4 linked regions of the Elephas maximus indicus genome follow. The protein of the gene in region 2 purifies or fractionates together with the protein of the main gene of each other region. This does not show direct contact. Links are inferred from orthologs where the notes say so. Each region holds a gene or a part of one and is shown on either strand. Other genes may lie near its edges. The genes, in order: CSTF2, SYMPK, CPSF2 and CPSF4.

The links.
Region 1: the proteins of SYMPK (region 2) and CSTF2 purify together in Homo sapiens (affinity purification with mass spectrometry; 4 studies listed by BioGRID and IntAct, with this or other methods). This does not show direct contact. The link is inferred for Elephas maximus indicus from reciprocal best matches to the Homo sapiens genes SYMPK and CSTF2.
Region 3: the proteins of SYMPK (region 2) and CPSF2 purify together in Homo sapiens (co-immunoprecipitation; 8 studies listed by BioGRID and IntAct, with this or other methods). This does not show direct contact. The link is inferred for Elephas maximus indicus from reciprocal best matches to the Homo sapiens genes SYMPK and CPSF2.
Region 4: the proteins of SYMPK (region 2) and CPSF4 purify together in Homo sapiens (affinity purification with mass spectrometry; 4 studies listed by BioGRID and IntAct, counting the BioPlex papers as one, with this or other methods). This does not show direct contact. The link is inferred for Elephas maximus indicus from reciprocal best matches to the Homo sapiens genes SYMPK and CPSF4.

What each region holds. Positions count from the first base shown.
Region 1 is NC_064846.1:57,411,827-57,419,477, forward strand, and holds the start of CSTF2 (cleavage stimulation factor subunit 2), read right to left. Parts: upstream 3,006-7,651; 5' UTR 2,949-3,005; coding exon 2,891-2,948; intron 1,425-2,890; coding exon 1,346-1,424; intron 960-1,345; coding exon 790-959; intron 88-789; coding exon 1-87. UniProt on the Homo sapiens protein: One of the multiple factors required for polyadenylation and 3'-end cleavage of mammalian pre-mRNAs. This subunit is directly involved in the binding to pre-mRNAs.
Region 2 is NC_064829.1:103,799,458-103,806,568, reverse strand, and holds the start of SYMPK (symplekin), read right to left. Parts: upstream 3,001-7,111; 5' UTR 2,916-3,000; intron 350-2,915; exon of another isoform or gene 320-349; 5' UTR 301-319; coding exon 196-300; intron 48-195; coding exon 1-47. Other genes in the region: FOXA3 (hepatocyte nuclear factor 3-gamma), read left to right, coding at 3,953-4,021. UniProt on the Homo sapiens protein: Scaffold protein that functions as a component of a multimolecular complex involved in histone mRNA 3'-end processing. Specific component of the tight junction (TJ) plaque, but might not be an exclusively junctional component. May have a house-keeping rule.
Region 3 is NC_064828.1:105,689,955-105,696,931, forward strand, and holds the start of CPSF2 (cleavage and polyadenylation specificity factor subunit 2), read left to right. Parts: upstream 1-3,965; 5' UTR 3,966-4,530; intron 4,531-6,977. UniProt on the Homo sapiens protein: Component of the cleavage and polyadenylation specificity factor (CPSF) complex that play a key role in pre-mRNA 3'-end formation, recognizing the AAUAAA signal sequence and interacting with poly(A) polymerase and other factors to bring about cleavage and poly(A) addition.
Region 4 is NC_064830.1:102,872,830-102,880,306, reverse strand, and holds the start of CPSF4 (cleavage and polyadenylation specificity factor subunit 4), read right to left. Parts: upstream 3,018-7,477; 5' UTR 2,895-3,017; coding exon 2,792-2,894; intron 1-2,791. UniProt on the Homo sapiens protein: Component of the cleavage and polyadenylation specificity factor (CPSF) complex that play a key role in pre-mRNA 3'-end formation, recognizing the AAUAAA signal sequence and interacting with poly(A) polymerase and other factors to bring about cleavage and poly(A) addition.

The sequences.
Region 1 (7,651 bases), on a different chromosome or scaffold from region 2:
CTGCTTTGCTAATGGACTCAGGGGCATCCTCAGGACTGATGGTCTCTCCATAAGGTGACTCAATGACAGGGGCACCGGTGCCAAGGCCTGGTCAGGAATAAAGTACAAGAAAGTTAAGGAGATAAGATAAAGGGCTAAATCACTTCAAGTATCTATTTTCCAGGGCTACCATAAGGACCAGTTGATAACTTAAAAATTCTCCGGAACTGTCAAATAAGTGATTTGCTAATCTTTTCTTTCTGTGGAGGCAAGTAACAGAGTGTATTTTCTGTTCTCAGAGGAAAAAGGGGACCATGATCACATAGATGGACAAAGTTAAACTAAGGTAGGAAACTAGGCATATGAACTTTTGACAAAACGCTGCACTAGCAAAAGGTTTAAACAGAAAAAAGATGTTAATTTAAAAATGGGATTTCTGGATCTATTACTTCACAGTAAAAAACACAAGAATGCCTTATTACCCCACCAGTTATAGATCTGACAATATAGTCATATGAGTGGCAAATGCTAACAACATGATTCGCACCTACTGATGGCTTGGTGAGCCTGAATAACTTCACCTCTAGCTGGAAATCAATTCCCCTCTTGGCAACTGAAGGACTCTCAATGTCAACTCTACCTTCTTTCTCAAAGATATTTACTTCCATAACTCAGGCTCCTCAAGTCAATCAAATAAAGAAATTGTGTCGCTAACTACTCCAGCATATTCTAGAATACACTCTAAATGGAAATTTTTCACTGTTACATTTTTACTAACCTGTATTTCATAAAACCTGAATTTATACTTACTCTTCAGCTCTTCTTTGTTCTTCTCACTAGCAGCATTATCTACTCTAAGTGCTCTACCACTGAATTCACGCCCATTCAGGTTCCGCATGGCACTCAGGGCCGTCTCCTGGTCTTGGTACTCACAGAAGCCATAACCTTTTGGTTTTCCTGTCTCTCTGTCATATACCAACCTGGTGAACAGAACCAAGTATCGGACACAAATGTTACAAATAATCGGACACAAATGTTACAAATACAGGGTTCTTGCTAGCATTTCCACTCTCTAATTTGGCCAACCATAGGATAAAACTTTACAATTCTGACTTTGCCTCACTAAAATCTTTTTAAGCATTTTTTTAAATGAAAAAAAAATATATATATCTCTTAGATAAGAATGCATGTGAATTGTATGGTATGTGAATTATACCTCAGTAAAGCTGCCCTAAAAAAAAAAAAGAATGCATGTAAAACATCACCAGTAAAAAAAAAAAAAACTTCTCATTATTCCTAATGGCCAAATTTGTGGCAATTTTTAAGAAGAAACCCCCTACTAAGAGGCAAAAGAAGGGGACCTCACCTGAAACTAACAACAGGTCCAACCTCAGAAAAGATGTCCTTTAACTGTTCTTCAGTAGCTTCATAAGGAATGTTCCCCACTAAGGAAAAAAATACGTGACATATTAAAATCCTGAGTTTGTAACCTAGGTCTTTAGTGAAAATGTAAACAGTACATTATCTACTTATATCACTGGGTATGTAACAATTGGCTCAAAATACAGTGTTCTTCAAATCCTTGCTCCACGGAACTCCTTCAGACGAGATTCCAATCTTATCTGCTGACAAAAATGAAGTAAACCACCGAGGAAACTCAATAAAAGGTGTACCAAACCAAATCCATTGCTGTCGAGTCGATTCCAACTCACAGCAACCCTATAGGACAGAGTAGAACTGCCCCATAGAGCTTCCAAGGAGAGCCTGTGGATTTGGACTGCTGACCTGTGGTTAGCAGCCGTAGCTCTTAACCACTACGCCACCGGGGTTTCCAAAAAAGGTGTAGGCACTCCTAAATGTTAGTTTTCAGACTTATATGACAAGTGTTAGATTTTCCTTAACTTCAGTGAAAATAAATACTAAGGCATAGGTATTTTCCTGAAAGTCTGCAAGTGTTATTTCTCACTATGAAAAATGGAGCTCTGGTGGTGCAGTGGTTAAGAGCTCAGCTGCTAACCAAAAGATCAGCAGTTTGAATCCACCAGCTGCTCCTTGGAAACCCTGTGAGGCAGTTCTACTCTGTCCTATAGGGTCGCTATGAGCCCAAATTTACTTGACAGCAATGAGTTTGGGTGTTGGTAACTACTGAAAATATAATTTTTATAACAAGCTCAAATGTCTGCATTTCCACACACACACACACACACTTAGGAAAGTCCAAGAATGCAGTGGAGTATATTTAAAAATTATTCTAAATTGTTTTGTCAAGTTCCTTTTCAAAAAGTGCTTTAAAATCACCACACATGCTTTGAAAAACAACTTATTTCGGCCGAAAAATTTACTCAGAATAGATTCAATCCTCTTCAGAATTCCTTCGACGAGGTCTTATTCATTCATTCATTCATTCATTCATTTATTTATAATCCACCTCAGGACACCAGGTGGCCGCTACCACTATGATGAACTGCAATGTTACCGGTAAAAAGCAGAGAAAGAAAATCCTTATCAGAGGGCGGAAAGTGGACATAGGGATCTACCCCCTCAGCATTTAATTTGCATTCTGGAATAGGGGGTGAGCAGGTAGTACGGGACAGTGAGGGACTGTCGCCATGCGCTCTCGCTTCCAGATAATAACTGAAGCTCGTGAAAGGAGAAACGCATAGAAGCTGAACGCTCGCCTAACTCCCTCAACAATATCGCAGAAAGGCTGCGGGACATCGCGGTACGGGAAGCATCTGTTTGCTTACAAATCTACCAGATTGACCGCCCACAGGATAAGCAGGTAGAGCTCGACGCCCGACCTATCACCGGCTCCGGTTCATGAGGTGGGAGAGTTGCAGGGGGCGTTCCTCGCCGTTCCCTGCCTCTTCCTGCCCTTCCCAGACGCTGGGCTCCACCGAATTCCTCTCACCGAACACAGAACGTAGTGAACGATCCACCGCAGGGTCCCTCACAGTCAAACCCGCCATCGCTCTCTTCAGGCGGCTTCCGGTGCGCTAAACACACTTCCGTACGGCGCGTGAGCCCAGCGCGGAACTCGCTTCCGTACGGCGCGTGAGCCGGAAGCTCCTGGGCCGGCGGACGCAGAGCCCGTCCCCAGGCGTCGTTCCGTCATCCGCAAGCTCTCGTTAGGGCCGTGAGTGGCACAACGCCTTCGTCGTCTGGCTACCGCCAGATAATATCGTTCTGGTCTAGATGGCGGATCCAGGCGACTTTGAAGGTTTTAGTCTGTAGAATTCTTGTTGTTACTCATTATCTCTTAAGTCGAGGTATCATCGACCACAATAAAGATGGCAGCAGCGGTTTTTACCATGGTAACAGGGAGCTCATTTACCAACAACCGGCACACTTTCATTTTAGTTCCGCCTTATTAAGGGAGGGAAATGCTTGCCCCGCCTCAGAAGCGTGTCTGCTGTCATTTTGCTAAAGTTGCGAGTGTACAGAGTGAGCTTAGGGAAGAGACTTTTGCCAGCGAAGAGAAGGAGGGGCGCTTAACGCCAAGTTGCCAAGATAGCTGAGGAGTTGGAGAGTTAAAAGGAGAACAGTCCCGTGTCTGCTCTCGTGTAGTCCCTGGGCTCTATATGCTTGGTGGTGGTAGGGGGCGAGGGGAGAGAACACTGACAGGCAGGGGATTGTAAACAACATAAAGCATCATTGACCATTGGTACCAAATTCTGGTGCTTGCGCTCCTGGAATATGGCATGCAGGACTAGTTGCCACCTCACAGGAAGACAGCCTGCCAGGGTTGGAGGAAGGAATCAAGAGCACTCTCTTTGACGGACTTTTTGTCCGAAAAAAGAAGGCAGAGATGCTAAAATATCTACAGAATTTGAGACAAGGACGTTTTATTAATCCCAGATAGATTAGAAGTGTGTGTGTGTGTGTGTGTGTGTGTAGATCCTTGCTTGAAGTATGAGGAATATTTGGTAAAAATAAATGAAGCTACTTTACACCGTGGAGCATGTCATTTAAAGTAATAATATGAGCCAAAATAAAAAGTTTTGGAAGAGTTCTCCCATGACTCCAGATTCCCACTTGCAATTACTGTGTGATCAAGAAAACACCTTGTGTTATAAAATAGTTCCAAACAAGATTTCAAAGAGCTTTGGCGAGCCATTGTCCCAGTGTGGTGAACTTTGTATAAATGCGTGTGTGGCTCAGTATCTTTCTCACCTAGTGTTTCCCAAACTTGAATGAGCAAAAGGCTCACCTTGGGTGCTGAAGAGTAGAAATTCCTGGATCTCCACCCCAGGCCTACGGAATGGGATTCTAGGGGAGGAATCTGAGAATAATTATTTTTAATCAACTGCCCTTGATTGTTAGGGTCAAGTAATTTGGACCGCATTGTACCTATTGAGGTAGCTTTATGGCAACATTTAATGATGCTTTCTTATAAAATTGCCCTTACATTAGTTTTCAACCTAGAACTACCCTTTTGTGGAGGAAGGTGCTTGGAAGTGTATCAGACTGGTTATTGTAATGGCTGAGGGAGTGCTATTACTTGTGGGGGGAGGGAACCAGAGATAATAGATGTATTTCTAAGTCCAGCACAGCCCTATACAATGAATCCCTCCCCCTACCTGATGCCAACTCTCTCCCCTTGAGAAACACTGAAAATTTAATACCCTTGTTAGTATCAGCAATACTAGACCAAAATGGATCCTGGATCTGAAGATCCTGTTGCATTGCTCGCATTGCATAGATAACTTATACTTCAGCCTTCTTATAACTGTGCAGGTGATACCAATGAATTAGTAATAATAAAAGCTAATACCAATTGAGATGTTTCAGCAAGCAGATGCTATGCTGTGAGTGCTCATTGTCTATGCCAAGAAATTTGGAAGACAGATACCTGGCCAACTGACTAGAAGACATCCATATTTATGGCTATTCCAAAGAAAGGTGATCCAACCAAATGCAGAAATTATCAAACAATAACATTAATATTGCACACAAGTAAAATTTTGCTGAAGGTAAGTCAAAAACGGTTGCAGCAGTACATCAACAAGGAACTGCCAGAAATTCAAGCTGGATTCAGAAGAGGATGTAGAATGAGGGATATCATTGCTGCTGTCAGATAAATCTTGGCTGAAAGCAGAGAATGCCACAAAGATTTTACCTGTGTTTTATTGACTATGCAAAGACTGTATGGATCATAACAAATTATGAATAACATTTTGGAGAATGGAAGTTCCGGAACACTTAATTGTGCTCATGAGGAACTGCAAAAATAGTGTGAGGACAGTGTCTAACCTCCTCAAATTTCACCAGGAGGAAGGAGAACCAAGATCAACAGTCCAAGGCTGATTCCTATGAGGTGGGGGTCAGGCATGCCTCCTCTCTCTGCCATCTTTACCAATTCTGACACCAACCATCCCTCCCACAAAACTCTCTACTTTTCTGCTGGGTTTGATAATTCAATGCAATGGCTACAAAGAACTCACAGACCATACTCATGATTATGGGGTTTATTTAGGAAGTAACAGATTATAATTCAGACTCAGGAAAACTCAAGGATACAGTTCTTCCATCAGGAAAGCCTCTTCCCAGCCATGTTCACATGCACACCTCTCCCTGTGCTAGGCCCCTGCCCAAAGGCGCTCAGCTTTCTCTCTCTGTGGGTCAGGAAGACCGTGGTGACATCTGCTGTGAGGTCTCTCCTTCCACTGCTTCTCTTCTGCCACCGCTTCTCACCATCTTCAGGGTTATAGCTCTCTCTCTCTCTCTCGGCTCCTGCTTCCGGGAGCTTCTCAGCACAGGGATCATGGGTCCAGAGCTGGCTCCTGGCTGTTCTTCCTTGGTGGCGCTGGGATCCTCTTTCCCGCCTTTGGAGTGGCTCATTTCAAGCCCAGCAGGATGGCAAAACTGACCAATTGCTTTGGAGGGCCACAATTACCCTATCACACAGTCCCACCCAATCACCTGGGTGGGAGTTATAAGACCATGGCAAGAAAGGCCACACAAAAGCAATCCATCATACTGCAGGAACATGTACACAGACCAAGAGGTATTCATTCAAACAGAACAGGGGGATGCTGATTGGTTTAAAATCAGGAAAGGCGTGTATCAGGCTTGTACCCTTTCACCATACTTATTCCATCCGTACGCTGAGCGAATACTCTGAGAAGCTGGACTATATGAAGAATGTGTGCGTGTAGGTCCTTGCTGTAGGATATATTCCTAGGAGTGGGACTGCACTATTTCTATTTCTAGCTTTTTAAGGTGGCGCCATATCTTTTTCCATAGTGGTTGTACCATTTTACATTCCCACCAGCAGTGCGTAAGAGTTCCAATCTCCCTGCAACTTCTCCAACATTTGTTATTTTCTGTTTTTTTTTTTTGTGCCAGTAATGTCGGGGTGAGATGGTATCTCATTGTAGTTTTGATTTGCATTTCTGTAATGGCTAATGATCATGAGCATTTCCTCATGTGTCTGTTAGCCAGGTGAATGTCTTCTTTGGTGAAGTGTCTGTTCATCTCCTTTGCCCATTTTTTAAATTGGGTTATTTGTTTTTTTGTTATTGAGGCATCGAAGTATTCTATAAATTTTAGTGATTAGACCCTTGTTGGATATGTCGTAGCCAAAAAATTTTTTCTAGTTTGAAGGTTCTCTTTTTACTCTTGATGAGCATAAGTGTTTAATTTTTAAGAGCTCCCAGTTTTCTAGATTATCTTGTGCTGCTTGTGCATTGTTAGTTATGGTTTATACTGAATTTATGCTATGTATTCGGGCCCTTAGTGTTTATTCGGGCCCTTAGTGTTGTCTCTATTTTTTCTTCCATGATCTTTATTGCTTTAGGTTCTATATTTAGGTCTTTGGCCCATTTTGGGTTAGTTTTTGTGTATGGCGTGAGGTATGGCCCTGTTTTCCTTTTTTTAACAGATGAACATCCAGTTTTGGCAGCACCGTTTGTTATAGACTGTCTTTTCCCCATTTAGTAGACTTTGGTCCTTTTATCAAAGATCAGCTGACCATAGGTGGATGGATTTACAACTGGCTTGTGAATTCTGTTCCATTCAAGTATATTTCTGTTGTTGGACGAGTCTCAGGCTGTTACGACTACCGTGGCTGTATAGTAGGTTCTGAAATCAGGTAGTGCGACGCCTCCTACGTTGTTCCTTTTCTTCAATAATGCATTATCTTCTGGGGCCTCTTTCCTTTCCATATAAACTTGGCGATTAGTTTTTTCATCTCCTTAAAGAATGCTATTGATATTTGGATCAGAATTGCATTATATCTGTAGATCGCTTTGGGTAAGATTGACATTTGAGTCTTCCTATTCATGAACATGGTATGTTTTTCCATTTATGTAGGTCTCTTTTGGTTTCTTGCAATGGTGTTTTGTAGTTTTCTTTGTATAGGCCTTTTACATCCCTGGTTAGATTTATTCCCAAGTATTTTATCTTTTTAGGGGCTATTATAAATGGTATTGCTTTCCTGATTTCATTTTTGAAGTTCTCTTTGTTGGTGTATAGGAATCCAACTGATTTTTGTATGTTGATCTTGTATCCTGCTAGTCTTTTGAGTCTTTCTATTAGTTCCAGAAGTTTTCTTGTCAAATCTTTGGGGTTCTCTATGTATAGGATCATATCATCTGCGAATAGGGAGAGTTTTATTTCTTTCTTTCCAATTTGGGTGCCCTTTATTTGTTTTTCTTGCCTTATTGTTCTA
Region 2 (7,111 bases):
TTTGAGTCATTGGTGATCAGTGCTGCCTGGTTCAGGAGATCCACCACCTAGAGGGGAAAGAAAGGCAGGGGGTGGTGCTGGCCTTGCCAGCCTAGCCCATTGGCACTCCCAAGGCTCTGTGATCTGGGGGTGGGGGTGGCCCGCCGAAAGCCAGGGCTGTGCATCCCAACTCCGAGCCCTTCTCTCCACACTCACCCTTTCTGAGGTGGTCATGCCATCAATGCCTGCTCCCTCCTCTTGTGTGAAAAACTGAGAGGCCACACTCCGGCGGGTAACACTGTCCCCACTGCTGCTCGCCATGGCTGCTGTCAGGTATCCCCTGGGGAAGAAGGGGATGGGTCAAGCTGACCTACACCCCATCACCAACACAGGGCTCAACCCACTTCCCCAGCCTGTCCTTTCCTTGTCCTGCCTTCCAAAGTCCCGGCCTACTCCAGACTACATGTACGTGTGCATGGTGGTTGTAATCTGGGGGAGACTGATGTCACTCGCCTTCCCTGATGGACTTCCAGGTCAGAGGCAGGTCCCCAAGTTCCAGCTCCAGTACTTTATATACAGCAAGCAGACCAGAACATCTGCTGAATGGCTGGATGCCAAATGAACCACAGAAGCCACCTTACTGGTCTCCATGCTTCCTGACTTTCTCAAACAAAGCTCTGAGGAACTCCAATCATGGAGCAGCCCTGCCCACAGTCGGTACCCGATACATCAGAAAAGCCCTAGTTAAAGAGGTTATATTACAGCTATTCTCTGGAATACTATGGAGCTGGGAGGGGAGGGGGGACTTTTGGACAGTGGTGGCTCAGTGATAGGATTCTAGCCTTCCATGAGCGAGACCTGGGTTTGATACCCAGTCAGTGCACCTCATGCGCAGCTATCACCTGCCTGTCTGTGGAAGCTTATGTGTTGTCAAGATGCTGAACAGGTTTTGGTGGAGCTTCCAAACTAAGACGAACCAGAGAGAAAGGCCTGGCTATCTACTTCTGAAAATCAGCCAGCGGAAACCCTACAGATCACAACAGTCCGATTCCCAGCCAATCGTGTGTGTGGCCAGGACCAGGCAGGATTTTGTTCCATTGTGTGTGGGGTTAGCATGAGTTGGAGACTGACTGGACGGCCGCTAGCAATAACATCCCAAAGTTATACTGGTAATATCATAAAATGATTAGTGTAGAAGGATCTCGATGACAGCTCTATTCGTAATAGCAAAAGGCCAGAAACAACCCACACGTTCTTAAATAATGGAACTGGTTGAAAAATTATGATACAACCACATGATAAATACTATGCCACTGGAAAAAGGACTAAGAGGAAAAAGAAAGAAATAAAGAAAATCTTTATACACTGATGGGGAGCAGACTCCTGTGTTATATTAAGTTAAAGGAAGTAAAGAGGAAGGTGGTGTTTATCACCATATGCTCCACTTCTATAAAAACAAATATATACATATATACATACAAAAAAGCAAACAAACAACAAACTGAAAAGACAAACCAAAAACCGTAAGTGGGAGAAAACAGTAAAAAAAAAAAGTGGCGGATCTCATGTACTATCAGGACAGGATGTCTACGACAGTCTGCTGTGTCACAAAACAGTACGTGCAATTCAATCCATTTCTGCCAAGCTTCTGCGTGTGTATTCACAGAATAACCTGAGGTAAGAAACTTAATCTCTCTGGGTCTCAGTTTCTATCTCTGTACAACGGGGATGGTAACAGTGCCTGACTGCCAAGGCTATTCTTAGTATATGTAGTAAATGTTAGATGAGTATGGCTATTGTTACCTACACGGGAAAAGAGCTGAAAAACAGTCCACAAACCATTAGCAATAATCACCTCAGGGGAACAGAATTTAGGGAGGGCAAAAAAGATACGTTTTTAAAAAGGAACATTATGTACTGTACAGAGTAGCTATTTGATAGATGTCTGCTGAATGAATGACTACAGTTATGGATTGAATTGTGTTCCCCAAAAACGTGTGTCAACTGGGCTAGGCCGTGATTCCCAGTATTGTGCAACTGTCCACCATTTCGTGATCTGATGTGATTTTCCTATGCATTGTAAATCCTATCTCTATGATGTTAATGAGGCAGGACTCAATCTACAGGATTAGGTTGTCTTCTGAGTCAACCTCTTTGGAGATATAAAAGACAGAGAAGCAAGCAAAGAGACAGAAGGACCTCATGGCATCAAGAATGAAGAACCAGAAAGGGAGTGGGTCCCTGGGTTGAGAAGCTACTAGACCAGGTGAAGATTAATGACAAGGACCTTTCCCTAGAACAGACAGAAAAAGAAAGCCTGGAGCTGGCGCCCTCAACTCGGACTTCTAGCCTCTTAGACTGGGACAAAATAAATTTCTCTTTGTTAAAGCCATCCATTTGTGGCATTTGTTAGAGCAGCACCACATAAGTAAACTGAGTAAACAGCCTCTTGCCTATGCTCCCTGCTGCCTGTCACTCCCACATCTCATTCAAAGTCGACCCAAAATCCTCCCCAGGAGTGCTACGCAGGGGAAGTGACGTTTGCGCCCGGCCCCAAAGGATGAATGGGAATTAGCCAGGCAGAATGGGTAAAAGGGTACTGCGGGCAGAAGGGTCAGCATGTGCAAAAGCCATGAGGCGGGGAGCTGCACGGCAAGTTTGAGGAACCGAAAAGCCGGTGCAGCTGTGAGAGGTGGGGGGTGAGCAAAAAGGCAGCGAGGAAGCCGGCGAGGTCGGCGGGGCGGGCGCGCTTTGGGGGCCACATTGGAACTTTGCCCTGAGGGCACTGGGGAGCCACGGAAGGGTGCTGAGCAGGGGAAGAAACAAGGGTCCCGAACGCCACTGCTCCCCTCTCCTGTCGCGGCCCCCCAGCGCCCCCGCCTCCTGAGGGCCCCTCCTCCCTTCGTTCCCCGGCCCCCAGGCCGTCCCCCGCTCACCGCGGCTCCGGCCTCCGTCCCCCTCGCGCCCCCTCAGCAGCGCCTCCTCACAGACGCCACCGACGCCATCTTTCCCTCGCCGCCGTGACACTGCGCACGCGCTGCGCACGCAGGGCTGCCGGGAAATGGAGTCCAGACCGCCCCGACCCCGCCCTTACCTCGTGCGGCGCGAGCGGCCTTCCTCACTTCCCCAGAGTGCCCTGAGACCGCCCCTCACAGGCTTCCGGGAAATGTAGTCCCTTGGTAGAGGCACAGGGCGGAAAGGGAGCTAGAGGCTTCTGGGAAATGGAGTTCCCAGTGGTTCCGAGTCCCTGGACGGCGGGGTTGGAGAGCTTAAAGAATCCCGGAGGCGAAGCTTCGAGGTGGTCTGTTGTCCTAGTGTGGTATGATCAGAGGCCCGGTTTCCCCATCCTTAGCCCTGACCCTTTCTTTCCAGTCTGAACATTTCCAGCCGTCGGAAGCCTCAGTATTCTCATCTGTACATTGGGAGTGCGCTTTCCAGGCTCTGCTAAGGGTCCTGATAGTGGTACATCGGTACCCCTAGAGCGCCCTGCGCGCTGCGCCCCTTTCCTCCGCCGTTGCCATGCTGGGCTCTGGATATTGGTTCTCTTTTGTCGAGGTGATGAACATGTCCCTCCCCCTCGGGTAGAAGTGCTCCAGAGCTGTACCTTCGGGGCCTTTAATATCAGCAGGGTCTCACCCCGGCAGCTCCCTCACTCTTCAGCCATCTCCTGCTCTCGCGTCCCCGGAATGCGGTCCCCGGCGCCTGAGGTCTCTCTCCTCGCAGTCCCGCAGGGGGCGCCCCAGGCCGAGCGCACCGCCCTCGGGGAGGCGGGAGGGCAGTCCGGGGCGGGCGAGGGGCGGGGGTGTCCCGGCTATAAAGCGTGGCCGCCTCCCGCGGCGCCCGGGACGGCGGGGACCCCGGGCAGTCGGACGGGCAGGCGCCGTTCGGAGTCGGGCCGTTCCTGCTGAGCGATCTGAAGTGTTCCGTTCCCCCGGGACCGGAACGGGAGCGGGTGGGGGCGCAGGCCCCGGGGATGCTGGGCTCGGTGAAGATGGAGGCCCATGACCTGGCCGAGTGGAGCTACTACCCCGAGGCGGGCGAGGTGTGTCCTCGGGGATGACGGAGCGGGAAGTGGGGGGCAGGCACCCGGGTGTGGGTTTAAATGGGGACAGGGATAGGCGCGTGGGCTCAAACGGGACCGGGGCATCTAACTGGGGAGACAAGGAACGGGGGACACGAAAACCAGGTGTGCGAATCCGGGACAGGGGACAAGGCATGGACTCGCGGCTTCGGCAGGCGAGCCGGGGTGAGGGCTCAAATAAGAGTCAGGAAAACGTAGGCAAAGGTCAGGTCATAGTTTAAACGTGAAGGCTGGGTTTTGGGGACCCGAAATCCCAGGGATTAAAATGAACAAACCAAAGATAGGAATCCGAGCTCCAGGGTAGCGGACAGAGTTGAAGAATTAGGAAATGGGGTTCAAAGTTGGAGGAAAGATAATGAGCTGGGGGTAGGGAGAAACCACTAAGGGAGGTTTGCGGTGGGAGCAAGGAGTCCTGATGGCGCAGTGGTTAAGCGTTCAGCTGCTGCTGCTGATGGAAAGGCCTGAGGTTTGAACCCACCAGCTGCCTCGCGGGAGAAAAGACCTGGCTGGCCATTTGCTCCTGTAAAGATTACAGCCTTGGAAACCCTATTGGACAGTTCTACTTTGTCCTATAGGGTCACTATGAGTCCGAATCGATTGGACGACAATAGGTTTTGGAGGTGGGAGCTCAGGTTTAGAATATGGTGGTAAAGTTGGGGGTTCAGGAATGAGGATCAAGGTGGCCATCTAAGATAGGGCCAGGAATAGTGGTTGGCACTCAGGAGTACGAGATGGGGGTGTTCAGAGATGAAGCTTTCTTTTGGGGGTCCGAGATAACAGACAGGTTAGAGTTGGGGCTCGGATAGATGTGGGCATCACCTTTGCGGGTATTTAGAGGGTGTGTTTCAATCTCCATCCTCCCATCCTTCCCCAGGACTCGCAGCCCCTCCCAGCTGAACTTAACTGCTATTAGAGTCCTTTAGCAGGGACTCCCCTCTTTGGAGGGTGGAGGGTTTCAGATTATCCCTGCCCCCCAGCAACCTCCAGCAATTGCTAATGTCCTCATCCAGTCTGATTTTAGACAAGGCCTCCTTGGATTTGTGGGTGGGGGTTTATCCTAATTCCCTCAGGCCAGGAGACAAGAAGTCCTTCTCCAAGTCTAACTACTGTTCCCCTTGTTGCAAGGATTCCTGCTGCTTTCTTTACTCACTCTATAGTCCACATGGAAATCCTGGTGGCATAGTGGTTAAGAACTACGCCTGCTAATCAAAAGTTTGGCAGTTGGAATCCACCAGGCCCTCCTTGGAAACTCTGTGTGGCAGTTCTGCTCTGTCCTATAGGGTCACTATGAGTCGGAATCGACTGGACGGCATTGGGTTTTTTTTATAGTCCATATTGTGAGACCTGGGAGTAGGGGATCCTAGTCTGAGAGTTACGGGGTCTGGATGCTTGTGTTCCTAACCTGGAAGGAAACTGCAAGCTTGAGGTGGGGATGTGAGGCTGGAATGGCTGAGTTTTCCAGGGAGACTGAGATCTGGGGGTTATGTGGGCCCCAGCATGCCTGAGTCCTGGGTCTGGGGTTTGAAGCTGTAGGGTGGGTCTCCTGGATCCCCAGACCTGTGGGGCCTGGCAGTGTGCCTAGGAGGGGCCAGTCATGGGGCAGTGGAGGTGTGAAGTGCACGTGGGATAGGGAAGGGCCAGCTGGGGAAGGGGCTGGGAGTGTTGAGAGGTAGAGGCGGGGCAGCTAGAGGTGTCAGTGGTGAGATGGGAAAGGTGGAGACCAGGGTGGGAAGTGGAGGCTCCTGGCTAGTGGGGGGATTCTAGCCGGGCCTCCTGGAGAGCTCAGAGTCTAGGCATTTGGCTTAAGAGGACCATCCACTAATCAGTGTTTTGGGGGCACATCTTAGAAGTAGTTTGTGGGCGAGTCTATGCTGGGGGAATCAATATTTGGGATGCAGTCTGGATGGATCCAAGTTTAGGGGAACAATTTGCACGGACAGTCTAGATAACTCAGAAATTGAAGGACAATCCAGAGGGGATCAACATTTGGGGACAGTTTGGGGGCATATTTTAGAAGAGTCCACATATGGGTAGCTGGAAATGGTTTGGAGGGTACTGTCTGGGAGTCTCCCCAAACCCTCCCATCAGATTAACCCACCTCCTTCCCTCTGGGCCGGAACAATGGGGCCAGAAATACCTACACTCACCCAGCAACCAACAGGGTCCTCAAACCACCTCTTCCTGCTGGGGTGATGTTGATACCCCCAGGCTGGCTCCCTGTCAAGAGAGTTTGGAAAGTTATCACCCCTGGTCCACCCCTACTGGCCTCAGGTTCTTAGAGATCAGCTGATCCACTGCTCCCCCATTTTAGAGATGGAAAATTGAAGCCCAGAGGAGTGTTGGGGGCTGCTTGAAGCCCAGGGCTGGGCCAGGGACTGGACACTAGGCTTCTGGCTTTGCACTGCCTACCTCTGCTCCCGTCACACCCTCCCTCAGGAACAATAAGGAAATGAAAGGGAAGAAATTCTAGCCTCCTGCAGTGGGGGTGCAGGTCCCCTGAGGGCTTCCCCCCATCTCAGCCCCACCCTGGCGGGGGAGATCCGGCTTAGACCCGGACACCGGGCTTCACCTCAGCCCTGGGGCGTGGGAAAGCCTAGGGTGGATTAGGGCAACTACAGAGCTTGAGGTCAGACCTAAAGGAGGACTTCCTGGTGGGTGGGAAAGCCAGTAAAGGAGGGCCCTAGGGTCTCAGTCTGTCTTACTCTGCTATACAAGAACTTAGCTGAGTTAGAGAATTGGTGGGGGGGGGGCGGGTGGCAAAAGGACTTAGAAATCCCTCCCCAACTCTCTCTGGATCCCACTGAATTCATTGCCTCCTTTCATCTCTGAAGGACCCGCCTTCCTTATTCTGGGGAGGGGGCAGAGCCAGCCAACCAGGGGGACACAGTGGGTGGAAGAGGGAAGTAACTTTGGCTCCGGTTTCAGTGTTGAACTTTTGGGGCAATGGTGATGCTGAGGGAAGGAGACAGATACCAAGATGTTCTGAGGGAGAAAGAGATGGGAGGTGGCAGGGGAGTGGGGGAGAGAGACAGAAAGCCATGGAAGGGTGGA
Region 3 (6,977 bases), on a different chromosome or scaffold from region 2:
CTCAAGCATAACAACAATCATAAGGATGGTACAGGACCAGCCAGTATTTCATTCTGTTGTGCATAGGGTCACTATGAGTCAGAACCAACTTGAAGGCACCTAACAAGAACAAGACATATAGTGTGAAATAACTATTATTTTATACCTAAGAAAAATGGGGCTCAAATAGCTTAAACCCAGCTATTAAATGCAGAGGTGAATTCAAATTCAAGTCCTCTCCAAAGCTCTGGCTCCTTCCTACATTATCGCACTACCTCTCTAAGAAGCCTCTCCCTGAACTGATTTTAAGTTCCAAGAGTTTCCCAAAGGCAGAGGAGGAGGAATAGGGGAGCCAGTTGTCATCATATGGAAGATAAATGCATACTAATTCAATAACAACATGGTCCAATTGTTATTTTTTGGTAAAATTCTGTACATAAAGATGAAATTTAAATATGTTCATTTGCAAATAGCCTAAAATGAATAAATCATATGCAATGGTTGAGAAGACATGACAAAACCTTATTCAGAGTAGTAGTACATTTCTGCCAACAAAAGTGCTTAGCACTAAATTTGCTTGGATCACGTAGATGGAATTTCCTGCCTCTCCTAAGACAGTGGTTCTCACACATATACAATTCTAATTCTTTAATTTCTCAAACTTTAATCAAATACCCATTATGTACCAGGCACTGGGTTAGGAAATGACCATGAAGTTAAAGTCATACGATTACTATATATTTCATAAAGGGCAGTATTACACAATGGTTTCCTTTGAATATCACTGGTCTAGAAAATTATGAGGTAAGTAAATTACAAGATAATTAAAGCATATAATTTACTCACCAATTATTTTTATATTTTTAGTTTACTGTCTACAATTGGGGTTCTCAAACTTGCCTGCACATCATATGTAGAGCCATTTTCAAAAATAGGGATTCCTTGGCCCTACCTCCACGGTGGGGCTGGAAATATCTGTAGCTGAAAGTATTCCCCAGCTGATTCTGATGTAAGTGGTACTTGGACATACAAACGTAAATGTATCCAATCTGACTTTATTTCTATAAGATGGTGGTTCTCTTGGTATTGTGCCTGCACTAAATAGTGTTATCTGCATTTAGATCTCTAAATATTATTTTGATGAATACTTACTTTTTAGTGGATACCGACCAAGTGTGCCCACCAAGTACTTACTGTCTCAACTTACTTGCTTTATAAAATTGAGCCAATCAACGATGGGGATAACAACATGTACCTTAGTCAAATAACGTAACCTTGAAAGAGGTATCAATTCTACCCTAAGCACAGCTGACTATTAGATATTATTCTGCACTTAACCAACAACAAAAAGTACTTGTTAACTCCTAGCCCAAGACTGGCTAAAATAAGCCCATGGTCACCTGTGGGCTATAAGCCATCACGGCTGGTACTTTTTTTCGGGGAGGGAAACCAGACCCTAAGGAATTGGGTTTGTCTGGCTCTACTCCCAGCAGAAGAGATAAGACAAGGCTCTGTGGCTCTTGCTGCATTTAGGCTCTTCTAGAAATCCCAGATGCCAAAGGTATCTGGGTGTATCAGGGTTGTATGCTTTCACCATATTTATTCACTCTTTATGCTGGGCAAATAACCAGAGAAGCTGGACTATATGAAGAAGAATGGGGATTCAGGATTGGAGGAAGACATTTTATTCTGATTGTACAGTTTAGAATTTAGTAGACTTTGGGAGTCGTTGCACTGAACACGCTTTGTTTTATGGAGAGTGGATAACTAGAGATGACAAAGCTTTATGGACGTAAGTGAGCTAGAACGATGGAAAGTGGACTGTAGGGAAGGGGAGCCAGGTGCTCCGGTTCTTGGGCCCAAGACATAAGTGAGCTTGATCTGATGGAGAAGGGACAAAGAGGACTGGGAACAGGCTCCAGTGAGGCAAGCCCAGGTTTTGGATAAGGGAGGATCAGCAGTAGGATGACTCAGGGGAGAAAATAAAGAACCAATTGCTGTAGGGGACATCCACACACGTGCCTGTGACATAGCTGTGTATGTGCTTTTACTAATTTGCAACCTGTCATTCTGTCATATGGCAACATTAACATACATTATCAGATATAGGCCTCTGTAACCCATTGTATTTACCATTAATATTATCCAGATGCTTACACTGTACAAGAAATTAGTGTCTTTTTTATGAGTACCTTCAAGAAAAACATTTTTTTTTTTACTTCAGATCTGAAAATAGCTATGGCTTTCCCGAAAAAAATTAATTTTTTTATCTCACGGACTGCAGGAATCATGTACCTGATCATGTATCCTTCCATACCAAAATGATCCAGTTTTTTGGGTTTTTTTTGCCCATCTCTAGCAATATGGCTGCTAACCAAAAGGCCAGCAGTTTGAATACAGCATCTGCTCCCTGCAGGGCAGCTCTACTCTGTCACTGAGTCAGAATCAATTGGACAGCAAAGGGTTCTAGCAATAGCAGACTCTTTTTATAGCACTCTGTGTCAGGCATAGTTCTTACTGTTTTTCATATGCATCAGCTCATAATCACAACACTATATTTGTATTAACTCATATAATACCCACACTGTTCCCTATGTTTTTTTAGGATGAGGAAATCCAGGACAAATGATAAAATAACTTGTCTAAGGTCACAGATGCAGTAGGTGGCAGAGCTGGGATTAGTACCCAGGCATTTTGGCTCTTGTGTCTATGCTCTTTACTTGTGTTTTACAATAAAGCAGATTTTCTCTTAGAGTAAGTATAGAGGTAAGCACTGGTATTAATTAACCACACTTTTCATTCTATCTCATTTTTCTTTAGCCCAATTTTATTCCCACTTCTTGAAAAACAAAGGAGCCCTGGTGGCACAGTGGTTAAGAGTTTGGCTGCTAACCAAAAGGCAGCAGTTCGAATCCACCCGCCGCTCCTTTGGAAACCCTATGGGGCAGTTCTACCCTGTCCTGTATGGTCGCTATGAGTCAGAAGCGACTCGACGGCAACAGGTTTGGTTTTGGTTATGGTTAAAAACAAAAGTTGTATCTAGTATTTTTTGTATGTCACTAAAGATATTTATTTTTTAAGAAATAATATTCTACTCTCTAACTGGTTTTTACAGCCCTTTATATGTAGTATTCACAAAGTGCCGACTTAACCTCGAGAATGTGAACTCGAGATATGGAGCACTATCTTAATGGCATACACAACCTAGAAACCAAAAGCAAATTAAATACTGAGTTTTTAAAAAGTAAAAGGGTAAGTGCCTATTTTGTGAAAGAGAGTGAGAACAGCTTCCAATCCTAACTAACGACAATGGCCAAATCTGAGATGGTCGCAGAGGCACTCCACCCGTACTTCCGTCTCGGCATAGAACCCTGGCCCGCTTCGGTCTTCAGCCAGCGAGGGGGAGGTCACTGGGTGATCTCTCAAGACGTTTCCGGCCTTTATGACATTTATGACAGTCTCAGAGCTCCCCTTCCAAAAGCTGCCAGGCGGAGAACGTGAACGTAGGCGTCCATCAGAAGAAGAGGTCGTCGCTCGGAAGCCCGGCCGCTCCCGCCCCGGAGAGACTCAGCCACCCCACTACCACCAACCCCATCACCGCCAAGGGCTGTCATAGAAGACACCCCTACTGATATAGCACAACCGTGACCCGGCACGCACCCACCTGCGGTACCAACAACGATCCCAAGACCAAGGGCAGCCGCGAGCTCAGCAGCCTGCGCCGGCGGAAGCTGCAACGTCGGGCTCTACCATTTCCCGCTTCCGCACGGAAGAGAGGGGGTAGCATCTGGAAGTCATACCCCTTCTTCCTTTTCGCATGTGACTCTTCTCACATTTATTTCAGCTTTCAAACATAATGAATAATTTTGAAATAGAATTTCAGCCCAAGGTGACGAGACTTGTTGGTGTAAGTGCCTTCTCCTTCCTAGAGTTTCGTTCCCCCCCCAGAGATGGTATAATCCTGAGTCTCCCCGGCCTCAGCCGTTCCCCTCCAGTTCCAAGATGGCGGCCGCCGCTGAGGGGCTTCTGTCGGCGGATCGTCACAGTTGCTGTTGAGCGGGCACCACTTTTTCTAGCTCTCGAACCTGGATTCGACTAGGGGTTGGGAAGGGCAGTGGACGGCGTTGGGGGAGGACTGACGAGGCAAGTGAGGGCAAAAGAAAGGAGTGAGCCTTTGGATGAGGGAGGGGGCGTCCTCGGCCCTCAGGGAGAGCCTGGCCCCAACTCCGACCCAGCCTCCCTCGGGGACGTGCTCCCGGAGTTTCGGTTGAGCCAGTCCTGGTCGCTCCTGGCAGAAGCGCTCGGCGAGGGAACGAGAAGTGATTTCTTCGTGGGTCTGAAAGTGGCGGCTCCTTTGTGTCAGGCTGTGCCATTCACTCCCGTGCCTCCTTCTGGCGCTGCCTCTCCTCTGTCTGGGGCGCTGGAGGCGTTCATCCGGCGCCACGGTTAGCTCTTCCTCCGCGTGGCTACGGTGTTGTCAGCCTCCTCGCTCGGAGTCTTCCCGTCGTGTCGGGACGAGAGACTACGAGTCTGCTAAGCACTGGGCACGAAGTAGGCGTCCTTTTAGTTAACTGACTCCGAAGTTCTTAAAGATATTACTGCGCTTTCTTAATTGTCTCGGCCCTCCACCGTCCCCGACCGCTTTCACTCCTATCATTTCAGTATTTTAAGACCTCATTCTTTTTGACTTTGTGTGATTTTAACATGCTCTTTAGAAAACAGGAGGTCACGGGCAAGTCTGGCCTCCTGTGATCAGCCACACCTGAGTTACCATTTACTTATCCCCTGGATTTTCATTTACAGTCCCTTTGATCCTGTTGTGAAGCCACTGCTCTTCTGAAATTGACCAGAAAGAGACTTTCGCACCCCATGAGTTCCAGTACTAACCCGAACTCACCCCTTTGTTTTTTTCTGTGGATTTTGCATAGTTCCCCTTAGTCGTCATTTTCAGCATACAAGGTCGTTATTGAGAGAGCAAGTAACTGATACATATTTGGGATGAAGTCGTATCGACCAAATTCACAGCACTGAAGGCATTTATGATCTTGTGAGGATTCTTTTAGCGCACATTTGTGTTGTTTTGGGCACTGTGCTTGGTCTTGGAGAGAAAAGACAAACACTTTTACTCCTCTGTGCATTCAGTTTCATTCAACAAATGTTTTTTGTGCCTACTTTGTGCTAGGTAAAAATAACTAGTCTTTCCTGGGTGGCAAGGAGCTAATATTCCACTTTTGTGGTGAGGGGTCAAGAGGAATTTCTGAAACTCCAGGGGAGGCCATTCCTGGAAAAGTAACAAGTACAGGGATACAGAGACTTGAGAAGTTTTAGGTACTTAGAGTGGGGCAATAAATGTACTTGAACATGCAGTTCAAGGGTGGTTGGTGAAGGAAGAGGTAGGTTATCAATTCGTGAAGGGCCTTGATTTCCACCTTAGGACTTTAGGTTTTATTCAATAGTTAACAGGAATCCCATGGATCTTTTGTGCAAGGAGGGGACATGAAAATATTTGTTTTTGAGGATAGTCTCTCTGACAGTTGTGTGGAGGATCAACCTGGAACAGGGAAACTAAATGAGAGAAAGTTGCAGTTATTCAGGTAAGGTAATAGTAAATGCCTCAATTGTAGGGCAGTAAAAATATGAGGAGCCCTGCTGGTACAGTGGTTAAGCGCTCAGCTGCTAATTGAAAGGTCAGCAGTTTGAACCCACCAGCCACTCTGAAGGAGAAAGAAGTGGCATCGTGTGTCCATAAAGATTTACACCCTGGAAACCTTACGGGGCAGTTATACTACTCTGTCCAGAATTGACTCGGCAGCATCGGGTTTGGGTTATTTTTTTCTGATTAAGAATATAAGAGACATTTCTGAAGTGTCAATTTGATGGTAGGAGAGTGACTCCAGAGTTTTAGTCTGTGAGCCTAAGTCGTTGGTGATACCATTAAAGTCAAGTCTAAAATGTGTACATAAAAATAGAACGGTGCCGACCTGCACTTCAGCAGTGGCGGAGAACAGTGCCCAGCAGTCTCTGGCATTGACTTCAGTGTCTAGAGTCTAGACCTGCTCTGTGACAGAAGGCATATGTAGGTAGCTTTTGAGCACCAGAAACGTGGTTGGTTCAGATTGAGATGTGCTGTAAGTATAAATACACACTGGATTTTGAAGGCAGTAAAGACAAAAACAAAAAAAGTAAAATATTTCATTAATGATTTTTAAATAATACATGTGGAAATGATAATGTTTTGAATATATTGGGGTAAACAAATCTCTTTCACCTGTTTCTTTTCCTTTTCAATGTGGCTATGAAAAAAATCTTAAGCTGCATGTCGCTTGTGTTATATTTCTGTTGGACAGAGCTACTAGTCAAGACTAATGATGGGCAAATTGGTAACTGTAAAAAACCAAACCCGTTGCCATTGAATTGAATCTGGGCCTTGAGATGATGATGGTGAGCAGCGATGTCTGGGCAGTTTGCTGAAGTCCTCAGTTGCCAGCTAAGGCATTAGTTTTGTTTTTTTCAAGCAGTAAGAAGCCTTCAGAGATCTCTGAGCAAGGGGTAGTATGTGCAGGAGTCTTTCTGAAGGTTTAATTGGCAGCAGTGTTTAGGTAGAGATGAAGGGAGGAAAGGCTGGAGGCAGAGAAACAGAGAAACCTAAGTGTGAGGTAGAGAGGCCCTGCATTAAGGTACTGAGAGTAGGAACGGGAAGGGAGTGGTACACGTGCAAGGCATTTTGGGGGGAAAAACAATCAGAGGTTGATGACAGACTATCCAAGAAGAAGTAAAGGGAGGAATAAAAGATATAGAGTTTCAAGACTCAGTTGCTTAGATAATGACTCATGAATTGAGGTCAAAGAATTGTAAAAAAGTACATACGAGGCTTGGTTGCTCAGTGCTTAAGAGCTTGGTTGCTAACTAAAAGGTCGGCAGTTCAAATCCACTAGTTGCTCCTTGGAAGCCCGTCTCCACTTCTATAAGGTTGCTGTGAGTTAGAATCGACTCCACAG
Region 4 (7,477 bases), on a different chromosome or scaffold from region 2:
AATTCAAACTCACAAAAAAATACTAAACTTACTGGTCTGGCACAGACTGGAAAAACCCCAAGAGTATGGCCCCTGGACACCCTCACAGCTCAGTACTTAAGTCACTCCTGAGGTTCACCCCCAGCCAAAGATTAGACAGGTCCATAAAACAAACAACAATACGCATAGCTCAAGCATGTACATGAGACTAAATGGGCACACCAACCCAGGAACAAGGATGAGAAGGCAGGAGGGGACAAGAAAGCTGGACAAATGAAATGGGGAACCGAAGGTCAAGAACGGGTATTGACATGTCGCGGGGTTGGCAACCAATGTCGCAAAACAATACGTGTATTAATTGTTTAACAAGAAACTAATTTGTTCTGTAAACCTTCATGTAAAGCACAAAAACATCACCCACTGAAAATCCTGTGGAGCACAGTTCTACACGGACACACGTAGGATCACCATGAGTTGCGGTCAACTCGACAGTGCCTGGTTTAGTTTAACATTTCTGTCTCTCAGCAGACATTTTACAGTTGCTGAACATCCACCGACGGCAGCCCTAAAGCCCACTTCCATCCTCTCCTCGCTAACTTGCAGCAGATTCCTTGGCTTGTCCAGGACAGGCAGATCTTGCTAGTACAGTACAGGCTTAACACTGCAGAAAACGGGTCTCAAGGGAGACACTTTTTGTGTTTTAATAACTTTGAAGAGTCTGACATCAAAAACTCTGCATTTAAGGGCATTTCTGGGCCTTTGTGGTTTTCAGAGGTAAAGGCTTCATTCCTGAAAGCTAGAAATCCGTTCCTGGGACTGGGTCTCAGGCAGATGGATAAAAGATCACACCTTAGTGCAGGGCTGACAGCTCTTCCCCAGTATGAGGGGGAATGCCGTGCAGGCACGGACGGAGGTGGAGCCATGGCCTCACTGGATAGTCAGAGGGGGCTTTAACATGCTGAATGCCATCACAGACGGGCCAAAAACCAAAACCAAACCTGTTGCCACTGAGCTGATTCCAACTCCGAGCGACGCTATGTGACAGAGCAGAACTGCCCTGTATGGTTTCCAAGGCTGTAATCTTTATAGAAGCACATCTTTCTCCCATGGAACAGCTGGTAGGTTCAAACCGCACACCTTACTGTTAGCAGCTGAGTGCTCAACCACTGCACCACCAGGGCTCCTTCACGTATAGGCCGTGAGTACTAAAGGCACCTAGCAGGTCTGAGTCCCTGAACTAGGCAGCAGCCATGGCTGGGCAGAGACCGGACCTGTCCCTGGCCCACCCTAGGACAGGTACGTGGGCCCCTCACCGCTGTGCCTGCCCTCACAGACTCTCAGATCTGTGGTGTAGCTGGAGAAGGGTGGGGGAAAGAGCTGCCCCACACAGATGTTTCCACGGCCTCAAGCTGGTGTCATCAAGACAGAAAAGGTGTGGATGTGCGCGTGCACATAGGACGTGATCCCATGTCGAAGCGTAGGTAAGAGGGTGCGTGTGTCTGAGTTCGAGCGGCTGCTTTTAAGAGGTGTCCCACAGCGGTAGTGTTTGCACACGTACAAAGTGTGGCTGTCTGGCACAGGTGTCTCCAGGAGAAGCACTCTGTGGCACAGAACGATCAGCATGTGTGGGACAGAGGATCTCTGACTCAGAAGGTGACCTCTGAATGGCCACCTGAGGGGAGCGAGGCTGTAGGGATGTCCCCCACGGATAAGTGGGAGGACAAGGCCGCAGTACTCTGGCAGTGATGGGAGACCGAATGGGAAACTGAAGAGAAGGGGTGAGAAACGCCGGAACCCTCCCCTGGCTCTGCCACATCGCACTGTGTGGTCTTGGGCAAGTCCCCTCCCCCAGCCAGACCTCCGCTTCCCGATCTGTGGATTGAATCAGTAACCTCCAAGAGTTCTCTGAGTCTTAATATTATAGCATTAAATTTCCAGTATGCCCAGAAAGGTGAGGAGAGCAAAAAACGGTCAGTTCCTCTTGAGGTACAAACTATCCCGCCGGAGTTGGGGGAGAGGAAGCACTGGAGAGCCGGAGCCGCCCAGAGAAGGGGGACAGTGAAAGGAGATCAGACTGGCCAACATGAAGGGTCTGTACCAGAAGCCTGGGTGTAATGAAGGAACCAGAAAAAAGTGGGGGGCGGGCCCGGAATGAGGGATGGGCTCTGGGGAGGAGGTAGGCTTCAGAGACGGGTTTGGGGGATCTCCTAGGGAGAGGGGGGAGGTGGCCCTTCCCTCAGTAAGCCCCCTCCAAGGGCCCAATGTTTTGATGAAAATAAGAGAGTGCTCAGTGGGAGGTGGGCTCCTGGGGAAGGGGTGTCTTCTAGTGCCTTCCTGTAGTTGAGGGAGCGTTGGGGCTATTTCCAAGTCATGGAGAACCTGCCTTTGTTCAAGAATTATTTGGTCAGGCAGCACCCTGCTCTCCTGCAGATGACTTTAGGACAGCCCCAGGGGATGAGAGAGCCGAAGGAGGAGGACTCCTGGGCCCAGGTGGGAGAGAGAAGGGGGTCCCAGAACCAGGGGGAAAGAGGTCTCGGGACCGAGGGGGAGAGGGACCACGCGACCAAGCGAGAGGAGGAGCCCCAGGCCCAGGAGATCCCGTGACCGAGGTGGAAAGAGTCCCGGGACGAGGAGAGAGAGATCCCGAGACTCAGCGGGAGGGGGTCCTGAAACCAGGGGGAGGGGAACGAGGGGAAGGGAGCCCGGAGCCAAGGGGAGCAGTCCCGAGACAAGGGCGGAGAGGACCCGGGATCCTGGAGGAGGGGTCCTGGGTCCGAGGTGGTCCGCCCGGCGGCCCCGGCCCCGCACTCACTGTCCATGCCGGGGAAGGGCAGCGGCTGCGCCCCGAGCTGCTGCTCCACTGCGATCTCCAAGTCGAACTTGATGTGGTCCACACTGGCGATGATCTCCTGCATGGTGGCGGCGGCCTGCCGGCCCGGCTCCCACTCGACTCTCCAGCCGCTCACTCGCCCACCCGCCGCGGTCCCGCCGCACACGCGCCTTAGCCGCCACAGCCGCCGCCCGGGGCATGCCGGGAGCACAGCCCGCCGGCCGGGGCTTCACATGTCCAGACCGGGCCAATCGAGCGCGGAGCACGAGCCGCTCCGCGAGACCCGTTTAGTCGCCAGCCGAGCGCTCCCTCGCCTCGCGGCCTCGGAAATCGTAAAACTGCGCGCCGATCTCGCGACGCTGACGGCGTCTGTGCAAGGCCGGGCCGAGGCTTGCGACTCCGGGACGGAGAGCTAGGTGAGCGGCGGGGCGAGGCGGGAGCGACGCGGGCCGGGACCGGGAGACGCGGGGGGACGGGACGGGGAGCGACGCGGGGCGGGGACCGAGGAGGGGGCCGGGGCGAACCGGTACCGGGCCGAGGCGGGGACAGGACGACTGGCGACGCGGGGGCGGGGAACGTCCCATGAGGAACCCGAGGCCCTGAAGGCCTTTGTGGAGAGCGGTGGTAGTTGGCCAGAGGTCCCGTAGGCGTCTGGGGGTCGGTAGGTCCCTCCGAGGGAGAGCAGCGGCCGCGTGTCCCCAGTACAGGAATTATTAACCTGGGATCACTGTACTTGTAGGGAGAAGGTGACCCCGGTGATTTCTCTTTGTGAAATTTAGCATTTCTTTCCATGACGGAGGCAACAGACCAAAGTAGCGTATGCAGCGTCAGAGACTTTGTTATTTCAAAGCCGTGGTGTTAAATACTGTGGGAGATACCTGTAACCGCCACGTGGTGATACCTGAGCTGACAGTTGCCCTCGCGCCCCTTTGACCTTGGCATTTAATGTGCTGAAAAAGAAGCGTATATTCTGGAGCCATGGGTGGCGCACGAACCCCCAAAACTTTGCCCTGAGATAATCTTTAAACCTTGAAGTCTTCTCAAAACCAAACAGTAGTTGATTAATCAATAAAAAATGTCTGCCTTGACATGGATTGGACTGGACAATGGGTTGGAGAGAGATGCTGATGTGAGGAGTGAGCTACTTGCATCGGGGAGGGGAGATGGGAGGGTAGAGGGGGTCAGAAACTGGCAAAACGGTCACAAAAGGAGAGATTGGAAGGAGGGAGAGTAAGTGGGAGTATGTAGTAAGGTGTATACAAGTTTATATGTGAGAGACTGACTTGTAAACTTTCACTTAAAACAATAAAAATTATTTTTAAAAAATGTCTGCCTTAAGCATTATGTTCTTTTAAGATCTTTTAACTTGACATGCAAATCCAGTGCTTTCGAGTCGATTCCAACTCATAGCAACCCTATAGGACAGAGTAGAGCTGCCCTGTAGAGTTTCCAAGGAGCAGCTAGCGGATTCAAACTGCCAACCCTTTGGTTAGCTGCCCTAGCGCTTAACCACTATGCCACCAGGGTTTCCAAGTTGACATCAGCAACACTAAAGATTAGATAGGAACCTTAGGGGCAGCGAATTTATATTAATGGGGGAGGAACAACTTAGAAATGGAGGGTTGCACAACTCAAAAAACGTTATTTATGTCACTGGATTGTATATGTTGAAGGGTGTATCTTTTGCTGTGTATACTCTTAACAAAAAATAAAATTATAGGAAAAAGAAGCATATATGCTAGTATAGCATATTTGTTTTTTTTTTACCCTAGAAAATAAAACATAGTAATTTTACAACTCATTTCATGACAACTGGTTGATAATCACAGAATTTCTCTTGTTCATGCCCTCTTTAGCCCTGGTTCTTTTCAAGTTACTGCGCTAGTTATACTGTTATTTTTTCTGAAGTTTGCACAAAGATAACTAGATTCAGGGCCGTTCCCCACACAAGATGGTTGTATGGTAAATTAGACTTGGTTTGCTATCAGCCTGTGTAAAAGCCCTGGTGGCACAAATAGATGAGTGCTCAGCTGCTAACTGAAAGGTTGGCGGTTTGAACCTACCCAGCGGTTCTGTGGGAGGGAGACCTGGCCATCTGCTTCTGTAAAGATTACCTATTTAAAAAAAAAAAAAAAAGTTGCTACTGAGTTGATTCCGACTCAGCAACTTGGCCTAGAAAACCCTGTGGGCCAGTTCTACTCTCACATGGGGCCGCTGCAAGTCAAAAATTGACTCGAAGGCTCCTGACAACAACAGGGGAAGTACTAGGTTTAGGAACACATGTGTAGTCTTAATACAGTTGACCCTGCCCTGATTATCACAATATCAGGACAGCAAATACCTTCGTTTTAAAACATTTTTAGTGCATATTTTTTGATTCCATGTATTTTAATGAATGGATGTGAACACGTGATTCCGAGGAGTCCTTGGTTTCATCAGATGCTGAATTCAGGCCACCCTGGTGGCGCAGTGGTTAAGAGCTTGGCTGCTAACCAAAAGGTTGGCCATTTGAATCCACCAGCTGCTCCTTGGAAACCCTATGAGGCAGTTCTACTTTGTCCTATAGGATTGCTATGAGTCGGAATTGACTCGATGGTAATTTTTTTTTTTTCTTCCTGTGGTGGTCAGGTTCCTGGGTGGCGCAAATGGTTTGCACTCAGCTACTCATCGGAGTACAGCCAGAATGCTCCTTAGAAGTGAAGATGGCTCATGTACTTTGGAAGTGTTATCAGGAGGTACCAGTCCTTGCAGAAGGACATCATGCTTGGTAAACTAGAAGGGCAGCAAAAAAGAGGAAGACCCTCAACCAGATGGATTGACACAGTGGCTACAACAGTGGGCTTAAACACAGCAATGGTTGTGAGTGGTACAGTACAGGGTAGTGTTCTGTTCTTTTGTATGTAGGGTTGCTATGACTTGGAACCAACTTGACAACAACTAATCGAAAGGCTGATGTTTTGAACCTGCCCAGCGGCACTGCAGGAGAAAGGCCTGGCAATCTGCTTCCATAAAGCTCACAGCAAAGAAAACTCTAGGGAGCCGTCTTATTCATAAAATATGGGTTGCCATGAGTTGGAATTGACTTGATGGCAGTGGGTTTGGTTTTGAGGTTTTTCTGGCGGTGGTCCAGAGAGGCTGTCTAATATATTGCATGGACCTGAGGTCAAAGCCAGTCCAGCCTGTGTGCAGGCCCAGCTCACCCACAGCCCTGTTGGGGGACCTGGGCAGTCTGTTCCTATTGCTGTGCCTCAGATCTTAACCTGTTCAACCTACCATCCCTTCTGAGGTCCAGTGTTGACCTTCTAATATAACTAGACCTTGAAAATTTTCATGCCGGTGGTTCTGGTGTTTTCTATGGAAGTGTTTTTATTTTGTTGTTGTGGTTGTTTTATATATGTATATATACGTGTACGTCCACATATGTATACATTCTCAAAAAAGCCAAACCCAGTGCCGTCGAGTCGATTCCGACTCATAGTGACCCTATAGGGCAGAGTAGAACTGCCCCCATAGAGTTTCCAAGGAGCACCTGGTGGATTCGAACTGCCGACCCTTTGGTTAGCAGCCATAGCACTTAACCACTATGCCACCAGGGTTTCTGTATGTAAATGTATACATATATGTATATTTGTATGTGTATGTATTGTATGTGTGTGAAAATATATATAACGCAATGCACACTCATTCAGCATTTTCTGCCTGTACAGTTCCGTGACGTTGGGTATACTCTTTGCCTTGTATCATCAGTCTTGCTCTCTGTACTCATATTGTTTCACAACCAGTAACTTAAACTCTCTGTTTCCTAAACTTCTCTGTTTTTGAGTTACTGTTGTCAGTTTGATCTCATATAGGTATTTCTTTCAAAGAATGCACTGCTCAAAGCAGCATTCTTTACTGGTTGATCTAAACTGTTGTTTAGTTTGAAGATGACTTCATGGAATAGTTTTGGTTCACAGTTTAAAGGTTATCTTAGGGCAATAGATTCGGGGGCTCCCCCTGTCCCCGTGGGTCTAATAAGTCTGGTTCCTCTAAGAATTTGAAATTCTGTTCTGTATTTTTCCTCTGTTTGATCGGGATTTATCTATTGGGTTCTTGAGCAAAATGTTCAGTAATGGTGTTCGGGTACCATCCCGTTCTTCTGGTCTCATGGCAGTGGAGGTTGTAGTTCACGGAGGCAATTAGACCTGCAGTCCATTGCCTTCTGTTTCCTGGGTCTTCTTCTTCCTCTGCCGCCCCAGGCAGATAGAGACCAATCATTGTATGTTGGATGGCCACTCAGAAGACCTCAGGCACTACCTGCCAAACTAGGAGGTAGAAAGACTCTAAAAACAGTTATTAGGCCAATTGACTGGACAGACCCTCAAAACCGTGACCCTAAACCTTATGAAAGGGTTTTAAAGTAGTCAGGCTAGATTCTAACCCAGTGCTGACCAATAAAAACACGTTAACACCTATGTAATTTAAAATTTCTAAGTTATTGTCTCTGTTAGGTGCTGTTGAGTCAGTTCCAACTCATAGTGACCTTACGTAGAACAGAAACACCGCGCAGTCCTGCACCATCCTTACAATCATTGCTGTGTTTGAGCCCGTTATTGCAGCCACTGTGTCAGTTCATCTGGAAAGGGTCATCCTCTTTGCCGCTGACCCTCTACGTTACCGGGTGTGATG